Linked DNA regions of Arabidopsis thaliana. The protein of the gene in region 1 purifies or fractionates together with the protein of each later gene. This does not show direct contact. Each region holds a gene or a part of one and is shown in the gene's direction. Other genes may lie near its edges.

Region 1 (6,302 bases):
CAGATGGGATCTAAGAGAGAAGCTGAGGCAACAGAAGGGATGCTCTTGAGCACATTTGACTATGCTTGGAACAAAGGAAGTAACGGGGAGCGAAGGCAGCTTGATTTGCTTAAGAAGCTCGGTGATCGCGAGTTTATGAGCAAGAGAAAGTCCGGTATATCTCGAATGCTGTTTCCTTTTCTTCGGAACCAAGTTGGTATCAGAATAAAAGGAGAGAAGCATGTGCTTAAAGAAGAGAGGAAGCTAACCTGTGATGTTGATGAAGAGAAGAGTAATAATTTCCTCACTTCAATACTCAAACTCACCCGGTCTAGACCTCAACCGGTTTCAGACAGATTTGATGAGGTTGATGGTTCTTGTTCTGATATTGTTTGTGGAGTCTTACTTGAAGATGGTGGCTGTTGCATTAGAAGTCCAGTCAAAGGGAGAAAGAGATGCATAGAGCATAAAGGACAGAGAGTTTGCCGTGTTTCACCCGAAAAACAGACACCGCCAAAGTCCGAGATTTTCACTGGACAAGATCATCACAATCATAAAGACTCTGATGTTGTGTGTGGAGTGATCTTACCTGACATGGAACCTTGCAATAAGAGACCTGTTCCTGGAAGAAAACGATGTGAGGATCATAAAGGCATGAGGATCAATGCTTTTCTTTTTCTTCTTAACCAAACTGACCGTGAGAAAACCGTCAAAGACGAGAAACCTGATCCCGAATCGCATACCGAGTCAATCGAAGAAGAAGCTTTGACTCGCTTCTGTGAAGCTACAACAAAGAATGGGTTACCTTGCACAAGAAGTTCTCCTAAAGGAAGCAAAAGGTGTTGGCAACATAAGGAGAAAACTTCCAGCGATACTTCGCCGGTATATTTTCAGCCAGAGGCAGCAAAAAACGTAGCTTGTGGAGTTAAATTAGGCAATGGATTGATCTGTGAGAGATCTCCGGTAAAAGGACGTAAGAGATGTGAAGAGCATAAGGGAATGAGAATCACCTAACCTCTGCATCACTTGTTTATGTTATTTGTTACCTAACCAGAATTGTTTGTACCAAAACCGTTTTGGTTTCGGTATTGGTTTGCTGAACAATCATCTGTACTGGATGACTCACAATCTCATTTTTTATAAATTTAAAATCAGTTTTGATTAACATCGTTGACTTGCATCTTTGCATTACATTAGATGTTTTTAGATTTAAAAATACATAGACCCGTTTCCCGCCATGCCTCCACTTTGTTACTTGTCCATGATGCGAAAAACTGTAAACGACCCATTTCTTTTTCAACTTCCCTTCGCTTCTTCCATATATCTACGATCGTAATATATCAGAGCTGCCTTCTTTCATTATTTTTCTGTAGCAGAACCGTTTTGTTCTGTTTTATTTTGTTTGACAATGTCGTTTGTTCTATTATCGAAGATGGCGAAGTTGAAGTTTAACCATATACGACACACAATCATTAGCACGCAAAAAAGCACAACCATTATGCCGGGGATAAGTCAGCTCTTGAACAATAGGTCTCTTATCATCTCATCTATTCACAATGTTGTTGCATTTTTATCCTCTGTTTTTTTTCTTACTATTATTGGTCCTTCAGGCTTTAAATTAATGGTCATAATGTATCACCAGATTGATCGGAAAGGAATTCAGTTCCGCCGTCCCCACTATGTTCAAGAGAGAAGACTACAAGCTGACTATACACGACATCGCATTCTCCAAATGGCGGAATCTTATAAGACACAATGATTGGAAAGATTTCAATAATAGAAAAGAAAGGGTCCGTAGATACAGACATGAGGACTTACCCCCTCAACGTTGTACGGGTCTGTATGAGCTCGGTGTAGGCGTCATCGGTCAAGACCAAGGCCAAAACTTTGATCCTGATAATAATGTTCTTGGTGTATATGTCGGACAATGTGTAGACGTAAAATCAAGACTCCAGGATTATGGAAGACGCGGTGGTCATTTGCCCTCGGGTTTATATGAGGACATATTCTCGGAAGGATACTCAGTTTTTTATAGATGGGCACCAGTAAATACATGTCTTCTTATCTTCTCTAGTTGGTCTGCTACGTATACACCTTTGATCCTAACTCATGTGATTGTTTCTCTGCTTTACCGTGATTTATCAGATGGGATCTAATTAAGTAGGAAGCTGCTGCAACAGAAGGGATGCTTTTGAGCACTTTTGATTATGCATGGAACACATGCAGTAATGGGGAACGACGCCATCTTGAGTTACAGAAGCTCGGTGACCCCGAGTTTATGAGCAAGAGAAAGTCACAAGTGCTAGTTCCTTCTATTCGAGACCAAGTTGTTACCATCAAAGTAGAGAAGAGTAATTATACTTTCCTCACTTCAACACTCAAAGTGATGAGACCATTTGGTTAACCGGAGTAAACCTACATCGACTAGGTCAAAGATATGGCTTTTGTTTCTCCTAAATTAATTGGATTGTAACCCACTTATTCACGTTTCAAATTTGTAGTGTTAGTAGTTAATTTGTATAGTTTCTTTTTTTTTTTGATCAAAAATTTGTTACGGAAAAAGTTTGGTAAGAATGTCGGCAGAATCACCACCGTCGATTAACGGAAAGATAAATCTAATCTAACGGTTATTGATAAAGCATAAAACTGACGGCTCCGATTTTATTTTCTAAAAATCACGTTAATCACGCACCAGGTGGACTATCATTGTCTTTAATCTATGGATTTAAAAATTTCCGCACGATTAAAGAGCGTCTCGAAAATTAACTTTTATAGGTAGGAGGAGATAGAAATCGAATCTTATCGCCGCGTTAATATGCCACCGGCCGGAGAACTCCGACATCAATCTCCATCAAAGGAGAAACTATCTTCCGTTACCCAATCCGATGAAGCAGAAGCAGCGTCAGCAGCGATATCTGCGGCAGCTGCAGATGCGGAAGCTGCCGGATTATGGACACAGATCAAGGCGGAAGCTCGCCGTGATGCTGAGGCGGAGCCAGCTTTAGCTAGCTATCTATATTCGACGATTCTTTCTCATTCGTCTCTTGAACGATCTATCTCGTTTCATCTAGGAAACAAGCTTTGTTCCTCAACGCTTTTATCCACACTTTTATACGATCTGTTCTTAAACACTTTTTCCTCCGATCCTTCTCTTCGTAACGCCACCGTCGCAGATCTACGCGCTGCTCGTGTTCGTGATCCTGCTTGTATCTCGTTCTCTCATTGTCTCCTCAATTACAAAGGCTTCTTAGCTATTCAGGTGAAATCTTCATCATTTGATCTGATGAATCCACAATTTCTATATCTTGCGATTTGATTTATGAATATTGTTTTAGGTTAGGTTAGGTTGATTCTTCAGTTATGCGAATTTCGGATCATGATTTGGCTTTGTTGAATTTGAATTAGGCGCATCGTGTATCACACAAGCTATGGACACAATCACGGAAGCCATTAGCATTAGCTCTACACTCAAGAATCTCCGATGTATTCGCTGTTGATATCCATCCAGCAGCGAAGATCGGAAAAGGGATACTTCTAGACCACGCAACCGGAGTTGTAGTCGGAGAAACAGCGGTGATTGGGAACAATGTTTCAATCCTTCACCATGTGACACTAGGTGGAACAGGTAAAGCTTGTGGAGATAGACATCCGAAGATCGGTGACGGTTGTTTGATTGGAGCTGGAGCGACTATTCTTGGAAATGTGAAGATTGGTGCAGGTGCTAAAGTAGGAGCTGGTTCTGTTGTGCTGATTGACGTGCCTTGTCGAGGTACTGCGGTTGGGAATCCGGCGAGACTTGTCGGAGGGAAAGAGAAGCCAACGATTCATGATGAGGAATGTCCTGGAGAATCGATGGATCATACTTCATTCATCTCGGAATGGTCAGATTACATCATATAAAGTTGTTGTTATAATTGTTTCTGTGGTTTTGAAAGTGAAAAACTTTCTGACCATTCGCTTATAGAGAGGTGCTGAGGTAAGTGAGCTTTGTTGTATTTGTAATTTACAAAACATCTTACGATGTTCAATACAAGAAATGGCCTTAATTTGATGTTATTATTCAATCATTAGTTATCCAAGAGTTTATACACTTCTTCTACTTTGTATTCGGGTTTGGCTCGGATTTACACTTGTCTGCATCCATTTTACGGGCTTGACAAACATCGAGGAGCATTGAACTTGTTCAGACTAAGTGAAGCATTCTTCGCCTTTACCCCGGTTCATGAGGGACTATGTTTTCGTCAACCGCAACTAATCCTTATGCGTATCTTATATCAGTATATAACTTACGGCTTCTGCAAAGAAGGATTGGTCTCCATTTCCATTTACAATTCAATTCAGACTAAAAAGTTTCAATCTGATGATCCAAATAGTTCAGGATCAAGACTGTTAAACCATTAAATATCAATATTAAGCAAAAACCAGATTCTAACTTGGTGAAATCAATGTGCTTGTAAGGCCAATTAGAGAACCAAAAACAAAATGCAAAATGAATTTTATTACTTGCTTCTGCAGAGTTCGTCACAAAACAATTGTTACAATGTCACAAGAACAGAACATTTTACATATGTATAAAAAAATGAAATAATAAACAACATTTTGTGGCATCTTAACAAGAGAACTGTCGTGTCGGCTGACTACAAAAGAATGTGTTATATGATGGTGGCTTGAATTTTTCTTCTTCGTCTTCTTCTTCTCAAATCTCCCTAGTATTGTTCTATATCTACAAAAGCCCTAAGATTTCTTCTCCTCAGCAAAATTAGAACCAATGAATCAGTAGTGCACACACACTTAAGCCGCCGAAATTCTGGTTTTGATAGGCTTAAGCTTTAATCCCATGCTTTCAGGAGAGAGAAGCTCAGGTGAAATACAAGAAGGGCTAAGTGGACTTCTAGGGCTCTCGGAGAAAAGAGATGGTCTGTATAATCCGTAACCCATCAAGAAATATTCCATTGGGATCAACATTGCATGTGGTTGCTCCTCTGTTACCATTGAACCACAAGCCTGAACCTGATAATATTTCCAAGAAAACATCTATTAGTAGCAAGAAAACCAAACATGTGTTTATATGTAAAGTACAAAGGATGAGGATTCGTTTTCTCAAACCTCAACCAAAGCACAGTATCCTCTATCCAAAGTTGCTGCCATGTGAACAGCTTCTGAGTAGAAAGGAGATTGATCTCCGATGAAGATAAGTGTCCTGCATTTTAGTTTCTTCAATCCACTTGAGATGTCAGGTCTCCTGCAAGAGCAAAGGTTTGGTTTGCATAAAGTTAAAGAAAAGTCAATATTTGACACCATGAATGAATGAATGCTTCTAAGGTAAAGGATTTCGAGGTGTTTGTTGTGTTACCGGTCAATGGCGTCAAGAAATCGCAAAACGTTTATGCCTTGTCTTTCATCAAGCAGCTGAGACAATCACCAAAAGTGCAAGGTGTGAATCACTGATACAGTAAAATCAATCTATTGATGAAACAGAAAAACAACAGAAGAGATAAACACTGACTCTTCTGCAAGCTTGTGCTATATCTGACTCTGGAATCTCAACGTTACCACGGACTTCCTGTAGCAAGCAGTTGCAACCGGTTTAAATAAGAGAAGTCTGGAAATGCAACAAGTGCAGAGAGAGAGCAATGGTAACTGCAGTGAACACACCTTACTAAAATATCTCTGAAGCAAAAATTCCTTTACCACTCCACACATTCCGTAATAATATAACAAGTTTGTGATAACCTTGTTGTAAAACCATTCAGACCAAGACGGCGCCTTGCATAACGGTGAGACAAGAATCAAACCAAGAACCCGTTCTCTATGTTTCATCTGAAAAGTTTTAAAACATAGAAGAGATGATAAACACAGTATTCTTCTGAAGCAATGGGCAATGAGAAGAGAAAAATAAATAGGAACATACCGCGAATAAGGTGAGGATATAAGCACCTGCAGTCACTCCCATACACATCACAACACCAAGGCTGAACAAAAAGCTTATACATTGTTACCCGAAAAACAAAAGTTGAGAACTTCAATAAGCCAAAAATAAGGGATTCCATCGTTACCCGAAAAAGTTGAGAACTTCAAGGATCTGATCTGCCAAGTTTTCAGCAGAAGGGACTGAATCATTAGGACAAATTGGAGCAGCTCCTAACTGCAAGAAAACAGAGAAGTCATGTGAGTAAGTAATCACGTCAAGCAAAGCATACGGCAAGTTAAAAAAAGAGAAACTAAAATATTGGACCTCATGCCCAGGTGGACTGATATGGTAAATGCAGAAGTTATGAAGCAGCAATGAAGCTGCTTCAGGACAGAAGAATAACCCTTGGAAG
Region 2 (8,036 bases), on another chromosome or scaffold:
ATGTTGCTAAGTGGACATCCGAGTGCTGTCTATACCATGAAGTTCAATCCTGCTGGAACTCTGATTGCATCTGGATCCCATGACAGAGAAATCTTCCTCTGGAGAGTTCACGGGGACTGCAAAAACTTCATGGTTTTGAAAGGTCACAAGAACGCCATCCTTGATCTTCATTGGACCAGTGATGGCTCCCAGATTGTATCAGCTAGTCCGGATAAAACTGTAAGGGCTTGGGATGTTGAGACTGGGAAACAAATCAAGAAGATGGCTGAACATTCATCGTTTGTGAATTCTTGCTGTCCTACACGTAGAGGGCCACCTCTTATCATCAGTGGATCTGATGATGGAACTGCCAAGCTTTGGGACATGCGTCAAAGAGGAGCCATACAAACATTTCCTGATAAATACCAAATCACTGCAGTCAGTTTCTCAGATGCAGCTGATAAGATTTTCACTGGTGGTGTAGACAATGATGTTAAGGTTTGGGACTTGAGAAAAGGTGAAGCCACCATGACACTTGAGGGCCATCAAGATACAATCACAGGTATGAGCTTAAGCCCAGACGGTTCCTACCTTCTCACTAATGGAATGGACAACAAGCTCTGTGTGTGGGACATGCGTCCTTATGCTCCACAAAACCGATGTGTAAAGATCTTTGAGGGGCATCAACACAACTTTGAGAAGAACCTGCTGAAATGTTCATGGTCACCTGATGGTACAAAAGTTACTGCCGGTAGCTCAGACCGTATGGTTCATATCTGGGACACAACCAGTCGGCGCACTATATATAAGCTCCCAGGCCATACCGGTTCTGTCAATGAGTGTGTTTTCCACCCAACCGAGCCTATCATTGGATCTTGCAGTAGTGATAAAAATATCTACTTGGGAGAGATCTGAATTTCAAAGCTGTGAAACCTTTGCAACTCTAAGTGGAATTGAAGTCTTTAGAATCGACGATGTGCTTTGAGACATTTTGTTTATTGAAAGAAAAAACGAAACATTGCTCTTTGGTACAAGTAATCAAGATTTGTTATCTCCTGTAATATCTTCATTACGCTCTTTATCTTCTTCTACTTTAACAGATGAGGTCATCATTTTAGTTCTCCTTAAAATTGTTATCTTTGGTATTACAATCTTGCAGTATCTTCGATTAGATTCTTACAGATTCAAGCAGTAGCAAGTATAAGCCCAGTCCAGTAACCAACTAACGCATATAAGTCTTTAGATTCAACAATGTGCTTAAGAAAGTTTGTCTATTGAAAGTAAAAAGCGAAACAGTGTTACTGCTACAAGTGATCAAGAAGAAGATTTGTTATCTCCTGTAATATCTTTATGCTCTTCATCTTCTTCTACTCTAACTTTGCTTCCACAGCAACCTCTTCTTCTATGTTCTTCAACCACAGTTTTTTTTACAATGCTGTCTCTTTTCTCTGCAAGCTCCAATCTTTTCTCCATAAACTCAGAATTCTCCTTCCAAATCTCTCCATTAGTGTAAACCTCTTTCTTCCATATCGGAACCGATGCCTTCAACTCGTCGATCAAGAACTTGCAAGCATCTAAACCATCTGCACGGTGAACAGATGAGACCGCAATGAGCACGCTAGTTTCTCCAACAGGAACTGGTCCAAGACGGTGAGCAACAGCAATCTTGTGGATATCCCAAGTTGATCTAGCAGTTGTACAGATCGAGCTGAGGCATCGTGTGGCCATTGGCACATATGCTTCATACCTTAACTCCAACACTGTCTTGCCCTCGAACATGTCTCTTGTAGTGCCTGAGAATGTCGCAATAGCACCAGCTTGAGGGGCACTGACATAATCAATGTACTTAACAACATCGACTTTGTGACCTTCCTCCAAGATCTCTATAAGGTTCTTCTCCTCTGCAGACATCTTTGATCCAATAGTAAACCTCGATACAATCGATGTTCTAGGAAGAGTAAACCAAGCTTAGCAGATGATCCGATAGCAAATTCTAACCTGCAATTGGAGGAAATAAACAACCATGACTATCTCATCACCTATCATCCAAAACTAATCAAACAGACAATTTGTTTAGTCAAAGGCAAACAGAGCAAATGAGGAACCTTTCTTGCGCAATCTAATGGCAATCACATCTTACTAATCCAGAAATGGAAGAGTCAAATCAACAAAGTAGGAGAATAGTGGACCAATGAACAAACTCAAAAAACGATGTCTCAAATCGGATTAAGAATTTGCCAAATCGGTCAATTTTTATTGAATCAGACAAAAACAGCAAAGGCACAAAACTCGTCTACAAAACTGACCAAAGTTCGAGTTTTTGTAAGATTGAGGATCGAATGGATAGAATCATAGAAAGACAGAGATAACGACAAAGAAGAATCGTCTCTTTCAGTACCTTACTACACTAAAAGTTTGTAATAACTTTAACAGCTACCCAGAAATTAAAAGAAGGCAAAGAACAAAAAGAGATCCAGAAAGATTTTATCTGACCTTTGAGAGTTTGGTAGGGCTGCATGATGAAGAAGAACATGTGCTCTATATTCACCTTCTTGTTGGATCAGACTAGTAGGTTGGTGAGATTGTAAAAAACAAAACTTTACTAATTCAATTTCAAAGTCTCTTCTTTTCTCCAGATACTCTGTTTTACCATTCAAGGAAAAAGGATAAATCTTGTAGAAAGAAGATGCCAAAATGATTTTTTTATTTAGAAATTAAACAGCGACGTCGTTTTGCAGCTACAGTGCGATCATCTAATCAGTCAGTGTCTTCAAGTTTAAACCGCATCTCTAGTCTCTCTCTACTTCTCTCTGTGTACAATATTCGGAAAGTGAGGAAGATACACTGAAGCAAAAGAGCAAGTCATGGCGGCGACATCTTCCTCTGCTTTTCTCCTTAATCCGTTGACTTCTCGCCACCGTCCTTTCAAATACTCGCCAGAGCTCTCTTCTCTCTCCTTATCCTCTCGAAAGGCTGCTGCTTTCGATGTTTCCTCAGCTGCTTTCACGCTCAAGAGACAGAGCCGGAGTGATGTTGTGTGCAAGGCTGTATCTATCAAGCCAGAAGCTGGTGTTGAAGGGCTCAATATCGCCGATAACGCCGCTCAGGTTAGATTGTGTTTCGTTTGCATTTGGATAGAGACAGAGGAAATCTAAATTGGTGATCAATTTTGTCAATTTAGGGGAAGATATAAACTAACTGAGTATTATTAGTCTTGTAAATTTGACTTCTTTGAATTTTGATTTCGTTTCTAATTTTTTTATATTCTTTCTGAATGTTATGAATTGATTCAGCTTATTGGGAAAACTCCGATGGTGTACTTGAACAATGTAGTCAAGGGCTGTGTTGCAAGTGTTGCTGCTAAGCTTGAGATCATGGAACCATGTTGCAGTGTCAAGGATAGGTTTGTGTATCCAAATATAATTTGATTTTGGTTTTGCTATCTTTCACATTTATACATTCTGAGCTTGTGTTGTTGTGGTGATTTCAGGATTGGGTACAGTATGATTACTGATGCTGAAGAGAAAGGACTTATAACACCTGGAAAGGTATTTGATTATGGATTTGACCTTTTATTGTTGTTGAATGATTCTGTATTGAGTGTCAACTGTCAAGCCCTCTGATTTTGTTTTCTTGCTGCAAATGTTTTAGAGTGTTCTTGTGGAATCTACGAGTGGGAACACAGGGATTGGCCTTGCATTCATTGCTGCTTCAAAAGGCTATAAACTTATCTTGACGATGCCTGCGTCCATGAGTTTGGAAAGGCGGGTTCTTTTGAGGGCATTTGGAGCTGAGCTTGTGTTAACTGAACCTGCAAAAGGTATGACTGGAGCAATTCAGAAGGCTGAAGAAATCTTGAAAAAAACTCCCAATTCCTACATGCTCCAACAGTTTGACAACCCTGCCAATCCCAAGGTCTGTAATTACTTCTTGTTTCATCATACTCTCTAACTGTGACATGAATTATGAGCTACGATTACTTCTGGCCTTGTACAGTAGTAAGAGGTGGTGTGTGAAAGGGTTCATTAGAGATGATAGTGAAATTCTTCCGCACTTCCTTTTGGATTGTTGTAGAGTTTCTATGGTATACAGTTTTGAATCATCACGATTATATCTGGGATTCACTGGTTCCATTGGTAAAAGCTGCAAGTATTTGTTAGTGTTTTGATATAAGATTAAATGCAGATTCATTATGAGACGACTGGTCCTGAGATTTGGGAAGATACAAGAGGCAAAATCGATATATTGGTTGCGGGGATTGGAACTGGTGGAACTATCACTGGTGTTGGTCGATTCATTAAAGAAAGAAAACCTGAATTGAAGGTACATAGCAAGAGGGCTTGTAGCATATCAGCTGGAATCAACTGTAGATGTTATAACCTCCGTAATTAGATTTAGTTGATGTTTACTTGTACTTGTAGTTATATTTAATTAGTTGATGTTTACTTGTACCAGGTTATTGGTGTCGAACCCACGGAAAGTGCTATACTTTCTGGTGGAAAACCCGGTAAGGCAGTGATTTTGTTTTTCTTGTTTCTCTGGCACGTTATTCTTTTTATCTTGCGTTTATTTGACATGTATTTGAAATGCAGGACCTCACAAGATTCAAGGAATTGGAGCTGGATTTGTACCCAAGAATTTGGATCTGGCTATTGTAGATGAATACATAGCGGTATGATCTGTTGGTTTGGTTCTCTATAACTATACATTCATCTTTTTCACTTTCAGCAAGCAACAATTTTCCTTTTTAACTTCACCTGTTTTGTTGCTTCTTATCAGATTTCCAGTGAGGAAGCTATTGAAACCTCGAAGCAACTAGCTCTCCAGGAAGGCTTGTTGGTTAGTCTATATTTGTTATTCTGTTTGACTTATTTGTTAGTGGGAACACTCTTTATAAAAGATAGAAAACGAATGTAAATGCATATGAGAAATCTATGACGATTAGTAAACGACTATAACCTTTTCAGGTTGGTATATCTTCTGGAGCTGCTGCTGCTGCTGCAATCCAGGTTGCAAAGAGACCTGAAAATGCCGGGAAACTCATAGCCGTAAGTCCTCAATGTTCTTCATCATAATTTCTTTATGGACCAAAACCTAGTCTTGTATCTGTGACCAACCACTGAATGATATAGAAAAAGAGTTCTTAAGTTATCTAATCATGAACCTTGGTCCTTTTAGAGTCTTACTACTTATTTTAACATTTGTATTTGAGTAGTTGGTTTGGTTTATACGTCTAATGAACGTTTACGTTGCCTTAATCTCTCTGCCACACCAAACCCTAGTCATTGCAAAGAACAAGAGAGGAGCTTAATCTCTCTGCCACACCAAACCCTAGTCATTGCAAAGAACAAGAGAGGAGCTTATTATTCAATTACTATAGCCCAACGTAGGGAATCAGTGAAAGGATTTTAGCTTAGTATGGAGTAAAAAATATAACAGATTCATCATATGTATAGTTTGATATGTGAGTTGCTGAATCTTGGTTTTCAGGTTGTGTTCCCGAGCTTCGGGGAACGTTACCTCTCGACCCAGCTTTTCCAGTCGATTCGAGAAGAGTGCGAGCAAATGCAGCCCGAGCTTTGATTTTCTTCTGTAATTTCGTGACCAACAAGGAACCTCTTCTTTGATTTATTGCTGATTGTTTTTCTTCTAATAGACGTTTCTGCAGAAATCTCTACGTCTACTGTGTATATTTACAATTCGCAACGCAATTTGGTGTTTGTTATTAATAAAGGCATAAGAGGTTTTGGTCAAACGAAGAGTCTTCTTCTTGAGCACAATTTTCGAGCGTTTTGTTTAATGTACCTGGAAACTTGTTTAGCTTTCTCCCAATGGAATCCATAAATGAAAGTTATGACGACTCTTCGAGTTTTGGACAAGACAGTCTCCTATATAATCGTCCTTTCGCCTATCTATATCTCTCCTTCCACTTAAAACTATTGTACTCTGTGCCTGCTTCTTATATAGCGATGATAAGAGCAGGATCAGTGGGAAAAAAATCGACATGTGAGTATACTTATTGGGACGACGGTGTTGGAGAAGAGGTGATGGGTGACGATAGTTGGGATTACGAGGGACGCAAGATCTCTCACATATATGTTGCTTTCGACGAAGTCATAATGTCTATTCAGTTTGGTTTTTTGGAGAATGGAGCTCTAGTCCTGTCTAAACAGCATGGTGGCATTGAGGAGGGCTCCAACTTTCGTGTTGTAAGTTTTGTGTCAATAACAATTATTTATTTTTGCGTTTGCGTAAGATCCGGTCAAGTTTTGTTTTTGATGAAGTTTAAACGCAGTTGAGACTGAATCAAGACGAATATGTAACTTGATTAAGTGGAGTACTAAGAAAGCATGGTGGAGGGATCAGAAATTTGACATTTCGCACTAACGTCGGGGAGTATATGATTGGACGTTCAAGCGACAATTATCCAAATCATTGGAAGATAGATATTGATCCGGCAATATGTGATGAACGTGAGTTTGGTGGTTTCTTTGGGTCTAACAATTTATACCATCTGACATCGATTGGTATGTATTTGAGACCCATTACAAGTCTCGACATGGTTGTTAAACGCGAAAACAGTTGACCAAGAAAGCCTTGTAGCCTAGTTCAAGTTGCCTGTTGAGTTTTATCTTAAATAAAGTAGCATTTTTGGATCAATCATCTTTCTATTTCTCAACTCTCAAGTAATAATAAAAAATGGTCCCATTTCTTCCTTTATTATTTGTTTTTGTAAATTTGTGCTCCATTTTCTTGTGATGAAAAACGAAATGTTTAAATGACAAAATTCGAAGTCACGAATCATTTCATGTATAGTATACCCAAAGATGATGCATCATTTGTTACTAATAACGTATTATGACTTTTTGGCTCACGAATTCTATAGACGGAAGGAACCAGCATCTTAATTAAATATTTGGAAAAATCTTTAGACGCATCTAATGTTCTTAAATCTATGGAAAATCGGCATCTTAACTGTTAGCAAAGAAAAAAAAAGGCTTTAACTATTACTAGTATCCTTAGATGAATATAGCTTTAAATAGGTAAACTATAGCTATAAAGTAAATAACAAATAAGCAAGGAGATTAAATATTTATAGTTACTTTTTTGTTCTTCGAATTTAGTAAATTTACTGTTTTCAAGTTGCTTTACATTTTGATTAAGGAAGTTTTCTTAGAGAGATTAGGTATGTAAAGCTTTTCTTCGTCTATATATAAGTATAGATCGTCCTCAGAAGAACAAATTGTTTTATTAAGAAAATATTTTAATCCGAGCTTAATTCTTTCGTCTGCTATATTCTAAATGAAATCCCGTGGTAGGGAGATGTTCAAAGTCGGACCAATTGGGTCACAACGTGCTTATCTTAAGAATTTGGAATGGGAAGAGAAGGGACGCAACATGATCTCTAGTATATATGTCGCTTTCGACAAAGATACCATAAATTCTATTCAGTTTAGCTATTGTCAGAACGGAGGTCATGTCGTGTCTAAAAAGTATGGTATGTCTGATGCCCAAAAACAAAAGTATGGTTCGTACAACGGTCGATTCCACGTAATGGTAAGTTTTGTTATAATACATCTTCATGTTTTTTCTTCCTTCTGATAGTTATAATATCTGGTAATTTTTCTTAGTGGAATCTTTACATTTTGTTTATGTAATTAACATTGTTGTTCATCATGTATAGTTTGTTTTTGCTCTTGTTACTGATGACCACGTTAAAACAAATTTATGCAATATACAGGTGAGACTAAATGACGATGAGTTTGTGACCGGGTTGAGTGCAATATATCTTTGTAAAGGGATCACGAATTTGAATATTCACACTAATCAGGGGAAACACGGCCCGATTTGTGATAGATATTCATCATCAAAGAATATTATGGATAACTATAAGGTGGAAATTGATGTGAAGATACGTGATCGTCGTGAGTTTGGTGGTTTCTTTGGGTCTTTTGATAACTATGGCACTCTGACTTCCATTGGCATTTATGTGTGTCCCATTACAAGGATCAATGACGTAGCCCTCAGAACCAACTACAAAGTCACCGATGACTACG
Region 3 (7,750 bases), on another chromosome or scaffold:
GGCTATTATCGATGTTATTTACCCACATATAATGAAAATTTACTTAGATCATAATTATGAAATCTCGCAAAGTTTCTAATTTATTATATCACTTTTGCTCCTTACTATTTTAATGGAAAAACTGTGATAATTACATGTCAATCACTGAATTTGAACAGTAATTATAATTTTCTATACCGCACAACATATGCTTATTTTGGTTTTGGGTACTGTCTTATTAGTTACATACGGTTTAGGTTGGCTTGTTTGTTTGTTTTGTCCTAGCTAATCACGTTAATGAAAACGCTCTACCAAATAACCGCGTTTAGAAAACGCTATTAGTTACCGAGTGTGGTTGGGACCGAGTGAGGACGTCACGGCTCCAACCAATCCGCAAATAAGGAAGCGCGTGTGTGTAAGTAGTGGGTGACCACTTTGCCTAGTCTTAAACGTTAAGTCTGGAAATACCAAAACTACCCCTGGTTTGGTCGAAGATTCTCACGCCCCTACCACCCAACCCAATCACAATCCTCGTGAACGAACACACCACCTTCTCTCCAATCTGGATCTGGTTCCTCTTCTTCTTGGTCTCTTCTCCATCTCATCGGAGCTGATCTCGAATTGTTCTCCGTTCATTTGTTACGGTGGAGATGACATCGGATCACCGCGACGCTCTTTTCTCTCTGGAACTGGAATCGCCTGATCCGGACGAAGGAGGTGTAGCAGACGGAGGAGAATCTGATACCGACGAGGATTTGCGCGACAACGATGATGTTGTTATGCCGGGAACGAACGAAGCTGAAGCTGAAGACGACGATCCCGAAGAGGAAGATCTCAATTCTCCGTCTACATCATCACTCCCCATGGTTTCTACGATCTCAGCGACTGCTGTTGTTTCCGGGACCCCGACGGCGACTTCCTCTACAGGCGCCGTGACCGTTGCACTTCCGGCTGGATCCGCCGTCCCTGTCTCCGTGATTCCCGTTGATTCCGATCCGAAGTGGCACCGTATGACGGAGATCGTCCATCAGAGACCACCGATCGATGATTCTAGACGCCTTTTCCAGAGGCTGTGGACAGACGAAGACGAGATCGAGCTTCTTCGTGGTTTTCTCGATTACATGACGATGCACCGCGGAAGCAGCTCGCATCCGCCGGATACGGCGCCGTTTTATGAGCAGATAAAGTCGAAACTTCAGCTGGATTTCAACAAGAACCAGCTGGTGGAGAAGCTTCGGAGATTGAAGAAGAAGTACAGGAATGTGATGAGCAAGATCAGCTCTGGTAAAGAGGTATTCTTCAAGAGCCCTCATGATCAGTCTACTTTCGAGATTTCTAGAAAAATCTGGAACCAAACTGGGAAAATCATAGGCTTTGAAGATAACAACGTAATGGATTTCGAAGAAACCAATAACCATCATAACACCACCAATGGTAACTACTCAACCTTTAACAGCCCTAGTTCTAATCCTACTCTGGAGCTCGACTCCGAAAATGGAATCGAGAAGAAATTGACAATGAGTAGCAGTAGCGTGTCGAGAAAACGATCACGATCAAGAATTGGGAAGATTGAGGAAGACAACAAACCTGTCATCACTCCCTCTGATGGGCCAATAGCTAGCAATGTCAACCTCAACGAAGCTGCAGCTGTTGGTATTGGAGGAAATCTCGGGGGTTTGATCGAAGAGACTGTGAAAAACTGTGTCTCTCCTGTGATCAAAGAGATGATGAATGGGACAACAAGTATGATGATGGCTGCAATGGGAGGAGGGTTTCCGGGTCTTGGTGGTGGTGGTGGTGGTGGTGGTGGTCATGGTTTTGGCTCGCTAAGCCCCATGTTTACACGGCCGTTCAATTTCGGTTTTGGTGTAGAGGGAGGAGGAAACAAGGCGGTTGCAGATGAGCGGTGGAGGAAACAACAGATTCTGGAATTGGAAGTGTATTCAAGGAGATTAGAGTTGGTTCAAGAGCAGATTAGAACGACATTGAACGAGTTAAAGACGATGCCGAGTGGTATATGATGAAGGGCGAGAAGAATAAGACAACAAGGAACCATTTAGGTTGATATTTGATATCTTTGAGTTAACCTTCTGGTGTGTGAGTGAGTATAGTAAGAGATTTGGATCTTTTTAAGTTATAAATTGGTAAGGTATTGTGATCTTTCTCTAGGTTTTTTCATCATTTTGATTTTTTTTTCTTCTTCTTATCTTTAAATTATTTGTCAATAGGGATGAATCATAGGAGGGGGGTTTGTGTATAACCTTTTGTATTAGATTATAGTTCTTTTTTCGTAGAATCATTTGTTCAATAACAAACAGACTTTCTAGCTGTTTTTCTTTCAAAAAGAAGAAAAATAATAATTCTAAATTGTGTGCTACTCTTTCTTTGTCTAATAAAATCTGTAATAACATGTTTATTTCTAGATCGGATACTGTTATTGAAGTGTATTAAACTTTGACCTCTTTCTTTATCATGTTGATTAATGTAGTTACTTAAAAACTTTTGTGTTTGAAAAAAAGAACCAATGTTGTGTTTCTTGCTAGTACGCATCAGAAGATTCCTTTCCTGATTAAGTAAAAAAAAAAAGGCATAATCAAAACAATTTAAAGATTCAAGAAGGCAGAAACTTGTCCACGTGACGAGGCAAAGAATGTTAGGTAGGTTTGTTATTGACTTTATAGTTTATACAATGATTTTAACAAAATACCTATGGAAGATACATGATTATTTTTTATAAATGTATAAACGAGTGGATATATTTGGTGGTGGATGATGGTGTGTGTGTATATGCAAATAATTCACTTTATAAAAGCTTATCGCTAATTTGACAGAACACTAGAACAGTTCTCTCTTTTTGTCGACAGTCTTCTTCTTCTTCTTCTTCTTCGATTGGATCTGGAACTGGTAAGCTCTTCTATAAGTCTCTGGTTTTGTATCTTTCGAACTGTTCTTTTGTTTCTCTCTCCAAAAATTTCAAACTTTCATAATTTCGCCTCCTCAAGTTCGATTTCAGCTCAAGAACACGAATGCTTCACTCACTTGTTTCATTGTTAAATCTTATATTTAGTTTGATACTCATGTTTTCTGCTGTTCGATTTTTTTTTTTCTCTGATTTATATTCGAGTTTGAACTTAAATCATGGTTTTGGTTTCACTTTACAATTTTGGATCTCATGCAGTTTCAAAACACTCTTCGATTTATATGAATGTTTTATATTATTAGGGACATTGCTTGCAGACTGTGTCTTAAATCTTTTTGATTTTCTTGTGATCTTCAGAACTCAAATTGGGAAGAATTTTGACATGGAGGAGGACCGGTGTTCGATCAAGGATGATGCAACTCAAGTAATCATAATCTTTCAGTTGTCTTTTTTAATCAACTGCTTCACTGGAATAAAGTTCTAGTTCCTTTGCTCAAGTAAAATGTACTTAGTTCCTTGCATACTGTGTCAGTTGATAGGTAACACCCCAATGGTATATCTGAACAACATTGTGGATGGTTGTGTAGCTCGTATTGCAGCTAAGCTTGAAATGATGGAGCCTTGCTCTAGTGTCAAGGAGCGGTATATATACAAATAACCCTCTCTCTATCTCTTTTGTCTGCTCCAAGCAATGTTTGTTCTTTTGTGTGTGTTTCTGAGAAATATCTTGTTTCTTTTGATTGATCCTTCGCTTGCTAGAATTGCTTATGGTATGATTAAAGATGCAGAAGACAAGGGATTGATTACTCCTGGGAAGGTAGATCAGATTATATCATACATTCGTGTTTTTTCGTTTTCGCCATTAAAAATCAAACTGATACTTGGATCCTGGTGGTTTTACTCAGAGCACACTGATTGAGGCTACCTCTGGTAACACCGGGATTGGTTTAGCCTTCATCGGTGCAGCTAAAGGTTACAAAGTGGTCCTCACAATGCCCTCATCAATGAGCCTTGAGAGAAAAATCATTCTTTTAGCATTAGGTGCGGAGGTTCACCTCACAGATCCTAGTAAAGGCGTTCAAGGAATAATCGACAAAGCTGAAGAGATATGTAGCAAAAATCCAGATAGTATCATGCTAGAACAGTTCAAAAATCCTTCAAACCCGCAAGTATGGACTCTCCTTTCACATTACATTTGCTCTTCTTCTCTCTCTATCTATATTTATCAATCTAAATTGATTATTCTGCAGACTCATTATCGAACCACGGGTCCAGAGATATGGAGAGACTCTGCAGGGGAAGTAGACATATTGGTTGCCGGTGTTGGAACTGGTGGAACGCTTTCCGGATCAGGAAGATTCCTCAAGGAGAAGAATAAAGACTTTAAGGTAGAGAAACTTTTATTGAAGTCCAACCATAGTAGTTATAGATTTGGCTTTTCAAGCACTTCTCTTATCAACAGGTTTATGGTGTGGAACCTACAGAAAGTGCGGTAATAAGTGGAGGCAAACCGGGTGAGTTCAAATCTTGTTCTTGAGTCTAACATAAGTAAACATCATTCGAGGAGTTTCTTGCTGCTAAATCACTTTCTTGATCACATAACGGATACTGGTTTCCTGTTTGTAGGTACACATTTGATCCAAGGTATTGGGGCTGGACTCATCCCAGACAATTTGGATTTCAACGTTCTTGATGAAGTCATCCAAGTAATGTAGCTGAGGTTTTATCGGTGTTGTCTTTGTAAACGCGATGAGATGTCAGAGAAATCGTACTGAGATGTTGGTAATCTCCAATTCTTTTTTCAGGTGACAAGTGTGGAAGCAATTGAAACAGCCAAACTTCTTGCCCTGAAAGAAGGATTACTGGTAGAATCACTGGTTTAATTGGTTTTAACATTTTTATGTTCGTTTAAGCCATAAAACCAACATTTCTATGTCTGGCAGGTGGGAATATCTTCTGGAGCTGCTGCAGCCGCTGCGATAAAGGTGGCAAAGCGGCCAGAAAACGCCGGCAAACTCATAGTTGTAAGTAAAAAAACAGAATCATAACGTGTAGCAGATAATTTGCCATTTCACTGAGGTTTTAAAGAAAATGAATCGGTTACTGTCTGTTTTGTTTAGGTGATTTTCCCTAGCGGTGGGGAACGTTACCTATCGACCTCATTGTTCGAATCAGTCAGACATGAAGCAGAGAATTTGCCAATTCAATGAGGCTTTTACACGACCTGACTTGGTTCGTTTTGGTGAAAAAGTACCAAGATTTCGGTTCGACATTTACACTGTCATAGTTTCATGAACTTTAAGATTTCAGATGATGTATGATCTCTAATCTCTAGCCTCTAAGGTGGACTGTCCTTTGACATTCTATTGGTGGTTTTTTTCTAGCTAATATATGTGTAAGTCTGTAAAACTTTTGTTGACAATGAATCTAGAACTATATAATGGCCATGTAGGATTTCAACCCATGTTACTAGTAGTAGACAATTTGGCTAGAGGATTGTGGAAGAGGAAAAAGATCAGAGGACAAGAGACTATAAACAAACACATCATAGGTTTCACCTTTGAGACAAGTCTACTTCCTGAGCAAACCCTCTCTTTGAAACCCAAGCTTCTCAACAACTCTTTGGGACACTTAGTTTTGAGTTTGAACAAAAGCCTGAAGCCTCAAAACATGAGGCAAGTCATTGAACACTTGTGATACTGCACCTTAACTAGACTTATAAGTTGCTTAGAAAAAACATTGCTTAGCAACCAAAGAATTTGTGATTCCATCTCTAATATTCCTTCTTCATCGTCTTAACTCCTATAATAAAATCTTATATGTATAAAAAATAGTAAATGATAAAAGAAAAAGAAGGGAAATGATTTAGTTAATTATGTCTTGATCATTAATAGATTCAATGGATTAAAGATAACAATAGTTTTGGTCTTTTGGAGATAGAGATCGAGCTTAACAATCAAACCCACACCAGCATGTAGGATAAAAGAACTCAGGATGTTGTTTTGAAGGAGGAGATGGGTAATAACATGTTCCATTGCCTTTGTAGTCAGCCATGCACTTCTCTTTGCATTTCTCGTCTCCTTCACAAATCCATGAATTACTACACTTTTTTGCTTCTCCTATCATGATCCCGTTTTCTATATAATAACACAAACACAAGTTTATCAATATAAAAGAAGTGGAACCATTTTGTTATCTTTTTTCTCAGTTCCGAGTTCCAACCAAGGACACAACAAAATATTAATTTTGTCATCCTACTAGATATGGTAGATAAAGTGATCAGAATTAGTATATCAAACAATGTTTAAAGAAAAAATGTTACCTGAAGAAGAAATAACGAAAACGACAATAAGTATGAAAAGAAGAGAAGAGTTTTTCATTATCTTTTGGATTTGTGAATGTTGAGAGTAGGCTTCAACTAAATTTGTTTCTTCTAAGATATTCGACTATATTTATAAGAAAATATTTAATTTTGTACTTTTTGAACCTTTATATTTATTATATTTGGATTTTATCGCTCTGTTTTTTTTCTTTATATATATAATTGTATATCTAATTTCTACTTTAGTTTAGCATTTAAAGCAAAAAAACTGAAAAAATTTAAAACCTTAGATTTTATTTTTAACATATTATCAGCATTAAAACGCTTTAGATTTCTATTTCTACTTTATATTGACAGTTAATTGCTTTTTTTTTTTTTTTTTGGATTTTGTCACTCTTTTATAGATATCATTTTTAAATTCTTGTATTCCGGAAAAGAGAGAGGATTAGTTTATTCTTTTAATCACACGGATTAAGGGTTGTAATTAGCTTAATTAGCAATCATAGTGGCAAAAACATTGCTTAGGAACCAAAGGAGCAGTGTACAAATCACAGACTCCAACTCCATTGTGCAAAGTCAGACACTTTTCTCTGCATTTGTCTTCTCCTTCACAAGTCCACGTCTGGTCGCATTTCTTTGCTTCTCCTACCATCTTCTTGTTTCCTTTATTCATCAAAACATAAATATTAAATATTTGTTTTACATATTTCATCTTCTTCTCAGTTTCTTTTTTTGGAGGGTCTAAATTTTACCAGTTTTAAGTTTTAACTTTTAACAAGAAAAATACAAAGATATGTCAGATATAAAATTAATATATCAGACAATTAAAACAAAATAAAATAGCAATTTACCTGAAGAAGAAATGAGAAAAACAACAATAATTAGTACGAAGAGAATGGAAGAGTTCTTCATTCTTTGTGGGTTTGGGAAGATTGAAACGAAGACTTCTAAGTTTCTGATGTTTACAATTTTCAGATATCATTATATATATAGGCAAATATTTTAACTCCGTTGAAGAAAAACAAAACGACATAATTTTTTTTTGTTTTGTTTTTCGTCTATTTGTTATTTATATAAGTAGATTCTCTATAAATAAATTATGACTAGATAAGCATGGACATTAATATTTTGTATAAATTAAATTGTATACTTTGTTATGTTTGCTATGCTTGTCAAAATTATTTGTTATATTTGTCAAACTTTAGTAAAATATATTCAAATATAATTAAATTTATTAAAACTTAATAAATTTAAAAGTTTTTTTTGTTTGGAGACGCACTATCTACATTCAAAATACCCGTTTCTATTTTTTGAATATTTTTAGGGCCTGAAACTTTTTATCCAAACTGGCCTAAACCCAACTGGACGCGACCTGAACCGAATATTTAGAATTATTCTATTAGGTAGTAAATCATATACCCATTAATCCCAAACCCGAACTCGAATGGGTTACTCATATGTCCAGCCCTATTCTCTGATTTAATTATCTAAAAAATCCCAATAAAACATATGTTTTGGTGACTACTTTA

What was found.
Region 2: the proteins of SERAT1;1 (region 1) and OASB purify together in Arabidopsis thaliana (affinity purification with mass spectrometry, with the first as the bait; one study listed by BioGRID). This does not show direct contact.
Region 3: the proteins of SERAT1;1 (region 1) and CYSD1 purify together in Arabidopsis thaliana (affinity purification with mass spectrometry, with the first as the bait; one study listed by BioGRID). This does not show direct contact.

The regions. Positions count from the first base shown.
Region 1 is NC_003076.8:22,959,075-22,965,376, reverse strand, and holds SERAT1;1 (serine acetyltransferase 1;1), read left to right. Parts: upstream 1-2,663; 5' UTR 2,664-2,794; coding exon 2,795-3,238; intron 3,239-3,384; coding exon 3,385-3,879; 3' UTR 3,880-4,148; downstream 4,149-6,302. Other genes in the region: ET2 (effector of transcription2), read left to right, coding at 4-993; AT5G56770 (transcription repressor-like protein), read left to right, coding at 1,388-1,509, 1,622-2,024, 2,144-2,383; NDL1 (N-MYC downregulated-like 1), read right to left, coding at 4,771-4,989, 5,086-5,221, 5,333-5,388, 5,486-5,542, 5,635-5,799, 5,891-5,951, 6,036-6,124, 6,215-6,302.
Region 2 is NC_003071.7:18,127,130-18,135,165, reverse strand, and holds OASB (O-acetylserine (thiol) lyase B), read left to right. Parts: upstream 1-2,527; 5' UTR 2,528-2,843; coding exon 2,844-3,086; intron 3,087-3,272; coding exon 3,273-3,382; intron 3,383-3,469; coding exon 3,470-3,527; intron 3,528-3,630; coding exon 3,631-3,894; intron 3,895-4,164; coding exon 4,165-4,302; intron 4,303-4,434; coding exon 4,435-4,486; intron 4,487-4,571; coding exon 4,572-4,651; intron 4,652-4,758; coding exon 4,759-4,818; intron 4,819-4,946; coding exon 4,947-5,027; intron 5,028-5,324; exon of another isoform or gene 5,325-5,469; coding exon 5,470-5,562; 3' UTR 5,563-5,731; downstream 5,732-8,036. Other genes in the region: AT2G43770 (Transducin/WD40 repeat-like superfamily protein), read left to right, coding at 1-894; AT2G43760 (molybdopterin biosynthesis MoaE family protein), read right to left, coding at 1,294-1,890; AT2G43745 (jacalin lectin-like protein), read left to right, coding at 5,811-6,188, 6,275-6,307; AT2G43740 (Mannose-binding lectin superfamily protein), read left to right, coding at 7,282-7,536, 7,664-8,036. UniProt on the Arabidopsis thaliana protein: Acts as a major cysteine synthase.
Region 3 is NC_003074.8:1,362,400-1,370,149, forward strand, and holds CYSD1 (cysteine synthase D1), read left to right. Parts: upstream 1-2,690; 5' UTR 2,691-2,883; intron 2,884-3,078; exon of another isoform or gene 3,079-3,256; 5' UTR 3,257-3,281; coding exon 3,282-3,323; intron 3,324-3,431; coding exon 3,432-3,541; intron 3,542-3,658; coding exon 3,659-3,716; intron 3,717-3,804; coding exon 3,805-4,068; intron 4,069-4,149; coding exon 4,150-4,287; intron 4,288-4,361; coding exon 4,362-4,413; intron 4,414-4,525; coding exon 4,526-4,605; intron 4,606-4,704; coding exon 4,705-4,764; intron 4,765-4,842; coding exon 4,843-4,923; intron 4,924-5,019; coding exon 5,020-5,109; 3' UTR 5,110-5,445; downstream 5,446-7,750. Other genes in the region: AT3G04930 (DNA-binding storekeeper protein-related transcriptional regulator), read left to right, coding at 630-2,000; LCR41 (low-molecular-weight cysteine-rich 41), read right to left, coding at 5,849-6,036, 6,222-6,279; LCR18 (low-molecular-weight cysteine-rich 18), read right to left, coding at 6,715-6,884, 7,073-7,133. UniProt on the Arabidopsis thaliana protein: Acts as a cysteine synthase. The cysteine synthesis reaction is more efficient than the cyanoalanine synthase activity.